Drosophila melanogaster: one gene and its partner. The gene in region 1 interacts genetically with each later gene. Each region holds a gene or a part of one and is shown on either strand. Other genes may lie near its edges. The genes, in order: klu and Apc2.

Region 1 (4,951 bases):
ATTGTGTTGGCAGCTGACTTCCCATTTTCCCTTTCTCCCCTCCAATGCCCCATGAAAAAAACACCTTCGCTATCGCTATGGATATATGTATCTCGCCGATCGCCGATCTCCGATCACTTGGCCTACACCATTTTGGTTTCGTTTCTTTTGTCGCCGTCTCATTTTAATCACTCATACATACATACATACATACATCTGCATATGAAATATACGTGCATATGTATAATACCAATAAGCATGTGGCATATAACTTATAGCCAAACACCTACGTTCACTTTTGGCTCTTTGCAGTGCTTCTCTTTTTTGAAAGACCCACGAATTTTGTACGAATCGCGTAAACGCGTTTATTTTCCCTGCCCACAATCACACACACACACACTTAGAGATAGTGGTGTGGGTTGAGTATCTGCGTGTGCGTGTGTGTGTGAGTGCGCCACTATTCGTTCATTCACAAATTGTGTTGTTGCTGCCTTGGCATGCTTTTGCTTTGTTTTTTCTTTTTTTTGGTTTTTTCTCAATTCAGTTTTGTTTTGTAAACACACACATACACACCTGGATGGAGGCGCACACAGATACACTGACACCTCGGCAGCTGCGCCACACACACAACCGCACACACGGTGTGCAAAGAGAGAGAGAGCGCGCTCTCTCTCTCTCTCGTGCATCGGCATTTCAAGTTCAGATATCGTATCTGTGAAGTTGTTTTGCCGGCATTTCGATTCTCACGAGCGCAGAGAGAGAGACCGAAACTGTATCTGTGTGCGAGCGAAACGTGTGTGTGGTATAGGTGAGAGAGTTTATCCGACGATTTTATCCGGGCCTTCAATGCGGCTCAAAATCAGTCAACTGCGATTTTCTTATAATGCAAGTTGGCTTATATGCATGTTAGACAAAAATAACTTCATGGGTACAAATGAAAGTCTAAAATTAAACAAATATATATTTTAGATCATTTTGTAGCGCTTTAATTTTTTTGCGAAGTTAAACAAAAAAGAGTTCCAATTAAGAATATTATATTATTTTTAAAAGAAAATAAGTTCAAAGCCAAGAATTATTAAAAACTAGACTAATTAAATTTCAATCAAAAAGTATTGAATTTACATTTTTGCTTTAGAGAATGTTTGAGTTTTAAACTGTAACTAAAAACGCTGCTATTACTATTTGTAAAACATTTTAATAAATTATATATTTGAAATTGTTTTGTAATTGTTTCTAAGATTAGAAGGCCCTTAAAGTCGATAAAGTACTAAACGCATAAATCAAAATTTTTTGGCTTCTGAGCAATGTAAGTTTAGTTTAGTTTAGAACTCAAATGAAAATGAAATGCTGTATTAAGAAGAAAGGGCTCAATTAAGTGACATATATTGCTCGAAGGATGCGAAAAGTGACCTAAAAGCCGGCCAACTTCCCAAAGGATTCAACGAGCGCTGCTTCTATTTGCCTTCGCCTTCTGCAAGACAGTGGAAAAGACATCCGCTTGGATTCGGATTTCGTTAGCTTATCTTCGCATTCGATGTTATATAACGCCAGTCGGTGGAAGTGGGAGGTGCCTATTCGGAGCTCGACTCGCAACTGGCGACCCAAAAGCGCCAAATGCAGCCGAGTGCCCCCATTGGCATAGAGTTTTGAGCAATTAGAAGCCCACGCAGCCATAAACAACAACTGCTCGGGCGGGCGGAGAGTGGGAGGAGAAGCTCTTCGAGCAGCTCCCACCGAGAAAAGCGGAACACAAAAAAAAAAAAAAGAACTAGAGAAATCTCCACTGCACGTGCTGCTCTTTCTCGCTCTCTCGCGACTTTATCCGGCGAATGAGAGGCCAACAGTCGGCACTAACACACAGATACCGCCGCCTGTTTGCCTCGGTGTGGGTGTCTCTCGGTGCGATGGTATTGGTGCCTGGTATCGTCGCTGTACGAGTGGCGACTCTACTCAGAAGTCAGTTTCTTGCTGGGCAGTGTCGGTTCAGGTTCATCGACGCTCCGCACGCGCTGCCGCAAATTCTTCAGTGCTGAATAACCAAGACGCGTCTTTTTCGGACCCAAAAAAAAAGAAAAATATATAGAAAATATATCCGAACGTAACGTAATCTTCGCAGTGCGCTTACAGACTCCCCCTCCAACCCGCCACACAAAAAACTCTCTTTCTCTCTCTCTCCGCGAAGAGAGTTTCAGTGGTTGGTTTGGATAGGTCTTGGTGGTTCGGTGTTGCCGTCGCTGCTGCCGAAGCTCTGCCGACGCCGACGACGACGCCACGTCGGGAAAACCAACCTCTTGCAGTGAAAATCTTTTCGTACGTTTTCGTTATTTGTTATTCGCACGTTGACGCGACGAGACCGCGAAACACGACAGCACGAAACTGCAGCCCAAAACTGCAACTGCAACTGCAACTGCAACAATAACGATCGCGCGTGCAACAACAGCAATTCGAAATCTAATAGTGGCAAGCTGCAAAGTATCTAAACGCCTAGAAATCCGTAAACTAAACTCGCCAAATCATTTAAAATCAAGTGAAAAGTGTGTGTCTTAACAGCCCATTAAGTAATATAAATCAATTAAAGCCGCAAAACACACAATAAGCCAAACACGCAAACGCAGCATAAGCACAAATAATACATAAAAATAAAAGAAGTGTGATATTTTGATATTAGCAATTAGAGTTTACACAACGCAGCCTAAAAAATATTTGTTAAATGTGTTTTGCCACCCCGAAGGCAAAAGCTACAAATTGGATAATGCTTGGATAATTCCCCTCCTACAAAAAAAAAAAAAAAAATTAAAGGTGAGTTCGCGAGATCGCTCAATTTGCCGACGGCTTAGTCATTTGGACAGCCGAAAGAAAAAAAACTATAAAGTGCCATCTCAGCTGTGCTGTTTGGTTGGTCGAAATGTGTCAAAAGCTGAGCTCCAGTTACGAATAGGATCGGTTTACCATAACACTCAGCGTAATATCAGATCGGCGGCTATATGCTATATACATATGTACATATGTATGTGTGTGCTGCAATCGATTGCACCCATGAATGATGGACTGATGATGAGTCCATATCAGCACGGGCCCCCTCCAGTGGCATCATCCACATCATCATCATCATCATCATCATCATCATCCCAATCTCATCTCACTCCCATGCCATATTGACTCTATCTATATTGACGTCAATCGCAGCAGCAACTTGACATCGCCGATCTGCAGATCGTGTGCCTGGCAAATTGACGCACACAAAAGCGAGTGAGATAGAGAGCCTGGTAGAAAGATAGTACTAGGACCCTTAGCCCCAGTTTCCTCACATCCAGTTGCAGCTCCAGATTCCCACTTCCAGTTTTAGCCAGTCTCGGGGAATTTTAATTGCCCATCTTGGCCAAAAGCAGAGCTGGGCTGCACTCCCTCTCTCTATCTCTCTCTCTCTCTCTCTCTATGTGAACTATGCCAATTGTCTACACCTGAGCCGAAGAACTGCCCGTCTGGCTGACAAATTTGTATGCACGCGCTTCAAAAGTGCAATATTAATTAATTCCAGCAACTCGAGACACGGGCAGCAACAACATCAACTGATCTGTATGCAACAGAAGTTGCAAGTTGCTAGTTGCTAGTTGCTTGTTGCAAGTTGCTGGTTGCTAGCGGTTGCTACTTAGTCGAGGCAATTAAATCGTATGTCATTCATTGGTAATTTATACCATTTACAGGCATCTGCTCGATGTGGTTGGTTCCTTAAACAACAGTTCTGCGATAATAGCTCCGCGATGTTTTACACTTGCCCATTAGCATAGATTACTGCATCAAGTGCTGGACCAAAATCCGTTTGCTTTGCTTTTGACCTGTCTGGCAAACGCCAAACGCCAATAGCCACAACGCTTGATCGATCGCTCTAAACCGATTTCGATTCCGATCCGATCCGATCCGATCGGCGATAAATGCAACTTGCCATGAAAAGTGCTGCCTTAAATGGGCATTAGGCTATTGCACATTTCTCAATATGTCGAGTGATTTTTTCTCTGCTCCTCCAACGCGGCTGACTTATACGCACCGCACCTTATATGACGAACGGCGACGTCTGCCGCTGTCCCACTGCATTTGGCATATAAAACAGACGGAGCCACTCGGTGGCTTCCATCGGTGGTGCAGTTGGGGGGCAATGGTGGCGATGGTGTCTCAGGTGGTTCGCTGGTTGGAGTCTCACCCGCACGACGCCATTTCTCAGACCCCGATGTCAATGGCAATTTGCATTTTCCACACAAAAGCACCTAGGTGCTCCTGGTGGCGGCTCCCTTCCCTAGAAACAGGGCGGAATAAAAAAAAAAAAAGAAAATAACGCCATATATACTGTGTTTGGTCGAGTTAAGGTCCCTGGTTCAGTGGTTAATTTATTTCTGACACAGCCTTAAATTAACAATTTTAATACAAACAACAAAAGAGCGCGCATTGAAATTGAGACGTTGAGCGAAATACAAAAAAAAAACACAAAAAAACTCAGAAAAAATACAAAATAAAATAAAAAACAGTGAAAATGCACACAATAAAGGGAAAAAAAACAAAAAGCTTAAAAGGAAAAAACATAAAATAAATTTACAGCAAAACAAAAGCGTGTTACAGAACAAAGGAGACGATTTTGGGGAGCAGTGAAAGAGGAATGTGTAAAGTGAAATAAAATTCTGGCGCGTTAATTAACTTTAAACGATTGAAAACGAATTGATTTGGAGAAGCCATTTGATTTGGATTAGTCGTGCCCGATTCAGAAAAAATGCCACAAAAGGTTGTGGAGGTGGACCCCCAGCTCAAAGGGGTCACAGCTTTTGGCCAAGCTGCTGGGCTGAAAATTAAAATTCAATCATCACGTGTGCGTTAAAAGAGACACACCATCGGCCATCTAACAATCAGACAGATCATTGGAGTTGTTAATTGAAATGCGTTAAACAATAAAACAAAGACTGTCATGTCTGTCACAGTTGCCAAG
Region 2 (6,895 bases), on another chromosome or scaffold:
ATCCAAAGCCCGTGATGACTCGCAATTGGGAAGTGCACGTTGGCTTTAAGGTGCACGGCAAGGGAACTGAACTGTTCGGCGACGGATTTGCCATTTGGTACACAAAGGAGCGCATGCAAACCGGGCCGGTCTTTGGCAGCAAGGATCACTTCTCCGGACTGGCCATCATTCTGGACACCTATAGCAATCACAATGGTCCACACAACGTATGTCATTACGCAAGGCATTGAATGTAAATGTATTAACATTATATTTGTAGCACCAACATCCATATCTCAGCGCCATGGTGAACAATGGCAGCTGGAGCTACGACCACGATCGCGATGGAACGCACACTCAGCTGGCCGGCTGCGAAGTTCGTTTCCGCAATGTGGAGTACGAGACGCTGGTTAGCATTCGATACGAAAACGACATTCTGTCGGTTTCCACAGATCTGGAGAACCGCAACGAATGGAAGAACTGCTTTGTAGTGGCCAACGTTGAGCTACCCACGGGCTACCACTTCGGCATGTCTGCGACGACGGGTGATCTGTCCGACAATCACGATATTCACAGTTTCAAGTTCTATGACCTGGACTTGAACGTAAATGTAAGTTCACTTTTGTTTGCCAAACTTCGGAAGCGAAGTAAGCATTACTCAGCTGTCTGCTATTTGGCTAACGCGATAAGGAGTGCAAGGAACCCAAAAGCGGACTTAAGTTTCAATAACTGCGTATACGTATAAAGAAAAAAGAGTGAACTTGTTTTTAATTGCTGCAACTTGTAATAATTAAGCAGCTGGCTTTAAACACATTGTTTGATGCCTAATCATGTTTATCTTTATAAGCCGTGTGTTATAATATTTATATCATATTACTGAAAACCAGTTTTACTTTCTTGTTGCAATAACCATCTTTTTACTTTCTTTCTTGTTCGCAGCACGATGAGATTATCCGGCGCTCCAATATCATACCGAATGCCAAGACATTCGAGCCCCCGCGCGAGCACAAAGAAGATCCCAAGCCGGGAATGTCCAACGCCAAGATCTTCTTCATCCTTCTCTTCGTGGTTGTCGTGGCGGCTGCAGTGGCCATCTTCGCCATCTCCTACTTCAAGGATCGCAACGCGCGAAAACGTTTCTACTGAGCTCTCTAGCTAGTTCATCACAGTAGCATCATGTTAGGAGTTACCCGGACCTCAGTTGATCGCAACTTTTATTTATATTTATACCGCGACTGTATCCCATTTCTTATCACCCTTTTTAGTTTCCTTAATTGTTTAGTGAGAGGGTAAACATAATATTACACGTGTTGGAGAGTTAAATTTAAGTGCAAATTTTTAATCTGAACTATAGGAAAATTGAGACCGTGAGAATATTATTGCGTAGACAAGATTAAAAGCCACTAAACAAATGCATGCGCTTCTCAATTAACCAACCATCCGCTTCTAGTGCTGACGCCCAGCCAACATGGACTCAATCTGGCGCACCTGGTTACTGACAAATCGATCCCGGGCACTGATCTCCTGGCGCTGCCCCGGCGGCTCACCCTCCGACTCCAAGGCGTCGTTGGACTTATGCATGCCGCTCAGAATGCACTGCTCAAATAGCGACTTGGACCGTGCATCATCGTCGTCGTCGTCTAGCGAGTCATCTGAGCTGTAGTTCGGCTTATCGCCATGCTCCACCTGCTTCTTTGACTGCCCATTTTCCCTGCATAGAGTGCTGGTACTAGCGTTCGCCAGGCTGGAGCTGGTACTGGCACCGCTGGGCTGAGGTCGACAACTTCCCGCAGCAATGGCCTATAAAAAGAGGGAACAACTTTAATATTTCTGATTTTAGCGAGAATTTTCTGACTGCATTTTAAATTTAACTTTTGTGAAATATCAACATTCCGATTGCTAAATCTACAAAGACACTTATTTTTGAGTGAGTCTCTCACAAAATGTTTATATGGTGAAATATATCAAGTGTTTTGAATGAAGTATCCTTTTCTCACCTGACTTAGAAGATTACAGTCGTCATCCGAGTCCATGGACAATGAGCTCAGTGAGTCGCTTTTCTTCGGCGGTAAGCGTGGCTCCGCATCTCCTTGAACGGCACTACGTCTGGGAGGAAGTTTGGGTGCCTGAGCCTCTTCTGCAGTCCTCATTGGCAGCTTCAGAACAGGCCCAGCCTTAGCAGAGCCAACAGTGAGATGGGATAGTCCCGAGATGACCGAAAACGTGCAGGGACTGTCCTCGACATAGTACTTGCTCATTTCATCCGACACTGGCAGATAACTGGGCAATGCATTGCCACCGCAGCGCATCTTAGAGATTGCATCTTCTGCCGGCATCCGAGTGTCCATTCCGGTAACATCAGCTCGCGGAGCAGGCACTGGCTGCGCTTCATTCGCATTTAGATCATTCGGGATGGACAAAATGGACAGATCACTATTGCTTGGCGCTTTGGAAAGCACGGCAGTAGTGTCCTCTGTGCAATAGCTGCGAGGAGCATCCCCATTGCCGTTGATGTCATTTCCACGCTGTCCTCGAATAGCGTTTGCATTAGAGTCGTCCATCATGCTCAGATTACTTAGACTGGTGGCGCAGGAGAAGGCAGCAGGCGTGTGCTCCACGTGGAATCTGTTCAACTTGTCCTCAAACACAGTACTGGGCTTCTGTTCAGGTGTGTCCAAGTTATTTTGAGTGGACACTTTTCTGTCCCTTCTCGGAGATTGAGGCATACTCTGGGTGGGTGAATCGGGCAGCTCTGAGGGGGAAATAACACCACTCTGCATCCGGCTGTATTCACTGATCACGGATCCATTGTCCTCGCAGGCAACCGTTTCGTCGTCGCCAACCAATGAGTCCATAGAGCTGCGACGCGAAAACATTAATGGAGTTTCTAGTGCGGAATCGATGTTTTGAGGCGTATTTCCGTCAACGTGCACCGGGAGAACCGCAGTTTTCGTTGGAGTTTTTGGCGGCATACATTTCTCCGGTTTCTCTGTGAGGCTGTTGAGCGAGTCGAAGCGACTGAAGCTGCCGGGAGTCCCTTCTTCACAGTAGTTTATTGGTCGCTCTGCCGTTTCCGTCTCCGTTTCGGTGGCAATTTTCTGCTTAGCTGCTGAAACCGCCACCAGGCCAGGACTATTGCGCAGCTCCGTGGCCGAGGAGGACTTTGTCAGTTGCAACTCCTTACTTCTAATCTCATTGGTCTCCGACTTCAGCTCCGGCTGTGCCGTCTGAGCGGATCGTCTCTCCTTATATCTAGCACTGAAATCCGTTGGCTGATCCAAGTCGATCTCAAAGGTCTTACTGCTATTGGGTTTGTGCTCCATGTACTTCATGGAGTAGTCAATGGGCTGCTCTTCAGTGGGTGTCACAATTTCGAAGGGATTCTTCGCTCCCTCCGACTTGGTTGAGTATTTAGTGGAATCGGATTTGCCCGAGTAAATGGACTCTCGGCTCTCACATTTTCTGTTCAGAAAGCCAGTTGTGCTGACTGTTGAGGGTCGCACTTTCTTAAGCGATCCCGTGGGATTTGAGCTTAGGCGCAGTGAGCTGAATCTCCGTGGCAGCGTACCTCCATGGCCAGCTTCCTTGTCTAGTGGCAGTGACCCACCATCTCCATTGGGCATAAGCTCCTGAGTGGCCCTGAAATTAACTAGGTTTTTCAAAGCCGAGGCACTGCCCTCCGCAATCATGGAGTTCTTGGAGCTGATTAGGGCCCGCAAGAGCGGGATGGCATTGTGGTCAATGAGGTATTGCTGGTCCTCGGGACAGCGCGCCGAGAGATTCCACAGAGTTCCGCAGGAGTTGCTTACCACGGTTAGGCTCTCCGATTTCAACTGTTGCAACAGAATGGCAAGGCAATTGTACCGTCTTAGGATTTGTCGGTACGGCTCACACACCGCAATATGGCTCGATACATTTCGAAGAATGCCGCCTGCATTTTCGATGATCTTAAGAGTTTTACTCGGACCCTCGTAGCTAAGCATTCCGACCAAAAATGCCAGTGCTCCGTCTACTGCACAAAACTCCGCCTTGTTGGTGCTGCAGTGCGCTGAGAGATTCCAAAGGGCTGAAAGTATGGCCTTGAGAGTGTTCTCGTTCTTGTTTTGCATGGCTGCTCGAGCCAAGGAGGTCACAGTACCCAGCTCGTTAAAGATAGTCTTCATGTGTTTGTCCGCGCGCCACGAAAGATTGCGAAGCACACCAGCAAGAACCTGATGAGATCAACGGTAATTAAATTACGATCTTTTTTTCTTAATCTCCAAGATTAAACTCACCTGTAGCAGTTCATCCGGAGCCGTGTTCAATTGAGCAATGACCACTTCCATGAACTGTCGCTGACCGCACAGATACGATTTGTTATGGACGTTCTCGTCTCCGAAGGTGAGATTCGTGAGGGCCATGAGGCCGTAGCTCCTGAGGGCGTTGCACTGTTCCCTACCGGCAGCCGGTCCATGGACCGCATGATCAAGGTGGACCAAATTGGGAATCGCCTTGAGGGCTCCCAGTTCGCACATAGTCTGGCGGTGCTCCTCGTCGAAACTGGCTTTCATCAGGAGCTTCATAGCCGCCAGCGGATGACGATCTTCATCATCTGCGATAGCCTCACCGCCGCTCTGCAACTGGGTGTGCAGAAAGTTACAGTAGTCGAGGATCTGGTCCAGCAGGCGCAGCATCTTCACCTCCCGCTGGCGCTCCTTCTCCTCCGGATTATTGTGGACGATGTTGTGCAGCGCCTGGCTGGCGTACTTTTTCGCCGTGGAGAGGCCTTCGTCGTTGGCGTGCAGAATCTGCACCAGAAGCTGGATACAGTCCGAGCTGCGCAGGGCGGTGCATGTTTCCGGATTTCGAGACAGTTCCAGGAAGTTGCGCGTCAGCTCCAGGCGAGTAGCGTCGCTCTCGTTCAGCGTCATTACTTTGAATGTATCCTCACCTATTAGTGCATTCGGATACCAGGGATTCTGGGAATAAACCTTTGCAGCTTTGCTTCTGGATGAGTCCTGTTGCACGGTCGCTTCAACAGGTAGTTCCTTCTGATCTGAGATCCTCGATCTTTGTTTGAGATGGCCTGCGTTTAAGCCATTTTCCAAGCGCGCAGGCTCAGCGCTCCAGTGCTACCGATTAAGCTAATTTATAGCTAGTTCTGCCCAAGTTCAATGATCAGTCAAAGTTCTTTCGAATAAAGGGATTAATACAAAGTTAACTCTATTTATTAAGGAAGCTCTCAAAATGTTGTTTATTTATATATTTTAAATAAGCGTGCAATAATTTTATTACATTACATTATTACATTTTCCCACCGACAACTGTTGACAACTCTGCCCCGCTTTAAAACAAAATAAAAATCGATTTTAATCAATGCAATAGAGATCCAAGTATTGCATTTAAGAACTAAAAAGGGCATTTACACAACTAAAAATTAATCTTTCTGTGTTTTTATTTAACTACTTCCTTCAATGTTGTTTTTTATTTTATAGAAAATATTTTCACTACACAATAATAATATCGAATACTTATCTATAAATTTGTCCATCTCTAGCGAACCGTTACGTCACGTCAATCAGCTGTTGCTGGACGCAAAATTGTTTCTGCCGCAAAATAATGAACTTCTTGAAAAAGGTGTGTTAAATAACAACAAACAGGACAAATTATATATTAAAATAACCTAATCTATTGCAGCTGTTGCCCCAGGTGGCGACCGAGGTGCAGCAGCTCAGCCGGTCAGGATTCCACACCAGCTCCGTGTGCTGTCGCGTGCAATCCGGGCGATACCGCATAACCACAAAGCGAAACAGGCCTCTTACCTACGAGATGGCCAATCCGCCGCATTTTATTGGCCACCGCAAATCGTGGAACTCATGGAACACGTGTAAGTTGTGAGAAAATTTTATTAAGGAAGCATTTTGATGGCCACCTTCTATCTTAGCAACAATGAAGGATGCCCTGCGTCCGTCCCAGACCGCCATAGAGGATGTGTTCATCCGCAAGTTTGTCACCGGCACATGGCATGCCCTCGTCTGCTCCGAGGTCATTATCAAGCGACAGCACAACACCATTAGGATCGCGGCCCTTATTCGGCAGGCGATTACACCGCGAAAAATGTACTTCCTTATTGGTTACACGGAGGAGCTGCTCTCCTATTGGATGCAGTGTCCAGTGACCTTGGAACTGCAAACGGTGGGCGATAAAAAGGACGTGGTCTTCAAATACATTTAGTTCATTCTGCTATATACATGTCCAATATAAAAGTGTAGATTTACTTAGTGCGTGTACTCGACTTCGCTGCTGTTGTTTTGTAGTGATTTGATGGCCTTGTTTACGATAATAACACCGTCAAGATCCTTTACCTAAGGCAAATTTTGGATAAGTTATGGCTTAGCAAATGGTTTCCTTATTTACTTACCGTTTCTATAAGTCTTTTGACGTCTGCTAAAGATGTTTGCTTTAGTATCGAGGACCTTATGTCCTTAACTAGTTCTACAAACAGGAAAACAACAATCTTCCGGGACCCTCCACAGACTTTGTCCCATATCTTGACCAAATGAGTTGTACAGATTATTCCAGCAAAGCAGGTTATATACCAGTTATCCAGTAGCGTTGAGTTGCCATCAAACAGGCCCAGAAGCTCCAGGTGACTATAAGGAGTAATCGAAGAAAATTGGTCAAATAACCCGACTAACCATATGCAAACTCACTTAAGCAAGGACAAATCTTCGCGCTTCAGTATATTCTGCGTTTGCTCCTTCAGCTTGACGCACTCCTTCTTCAGTTCGCGGGTGTACTTGTAGAATCCCTTTGCTATCCAGTAGGTTTCCACGTTGTCGTCGAATATCTGCAGCAACGTGCGCACAATCTCTATGAAGTGCATGTCGTCCGCCTGGAGACTGGCACTAGTATTGCCATGCCACAGTCGATTGGA

Evidence for each region.
Region 2: of klu (region 1) and Apc2, changing one suppresses a phenotype caused by changing the other (phenotypic suppression), as found in Drosophila melanogaster (one study listed by BioGRID).

The regions. Positions count from the first base shown.
Region 1 is NT_037436.4:11,006,177-11,011,127, reverse strand, and holds the start of klu (klumpfuss), read left to right. Parts: upstream 1-1,939; 5' UTR 1,940-2,778; intron 2,779-4,951.
Region 2 is NT_033777.3:24,162,168-24,169,062, reverse strand, and holds Apc2 (adenomatous polyposis coli 2), read right to left. Parts: upstream 5,098-6,895; 5' UTR 4,890-5,097; coding exon 4,254-4,889; intron 4,191-4,253; coding exon 1,977-4,190; intron 1,780-1,976; coding exon 1,426-1,779; 3' UTR 1,126-1,425; coding exon of another isoform or gene 919-1,125; 3' UTR 799-918; downstream 1-798. Other genes in the region: CG5510 (uncharacterized protein), read left to right, coding at 9-206, 260-589, 919-1,125; mRpS24 (mitochondrial ribosomal protein S24), read left to right, coding at 5,578-5,595, 5,656-5,845, 5,903-6,192; TBC1d7 (TBC1 domain family member 7), read right to left, coding at 6,237-6,323, 6,380-6,611, 6,672-6,895.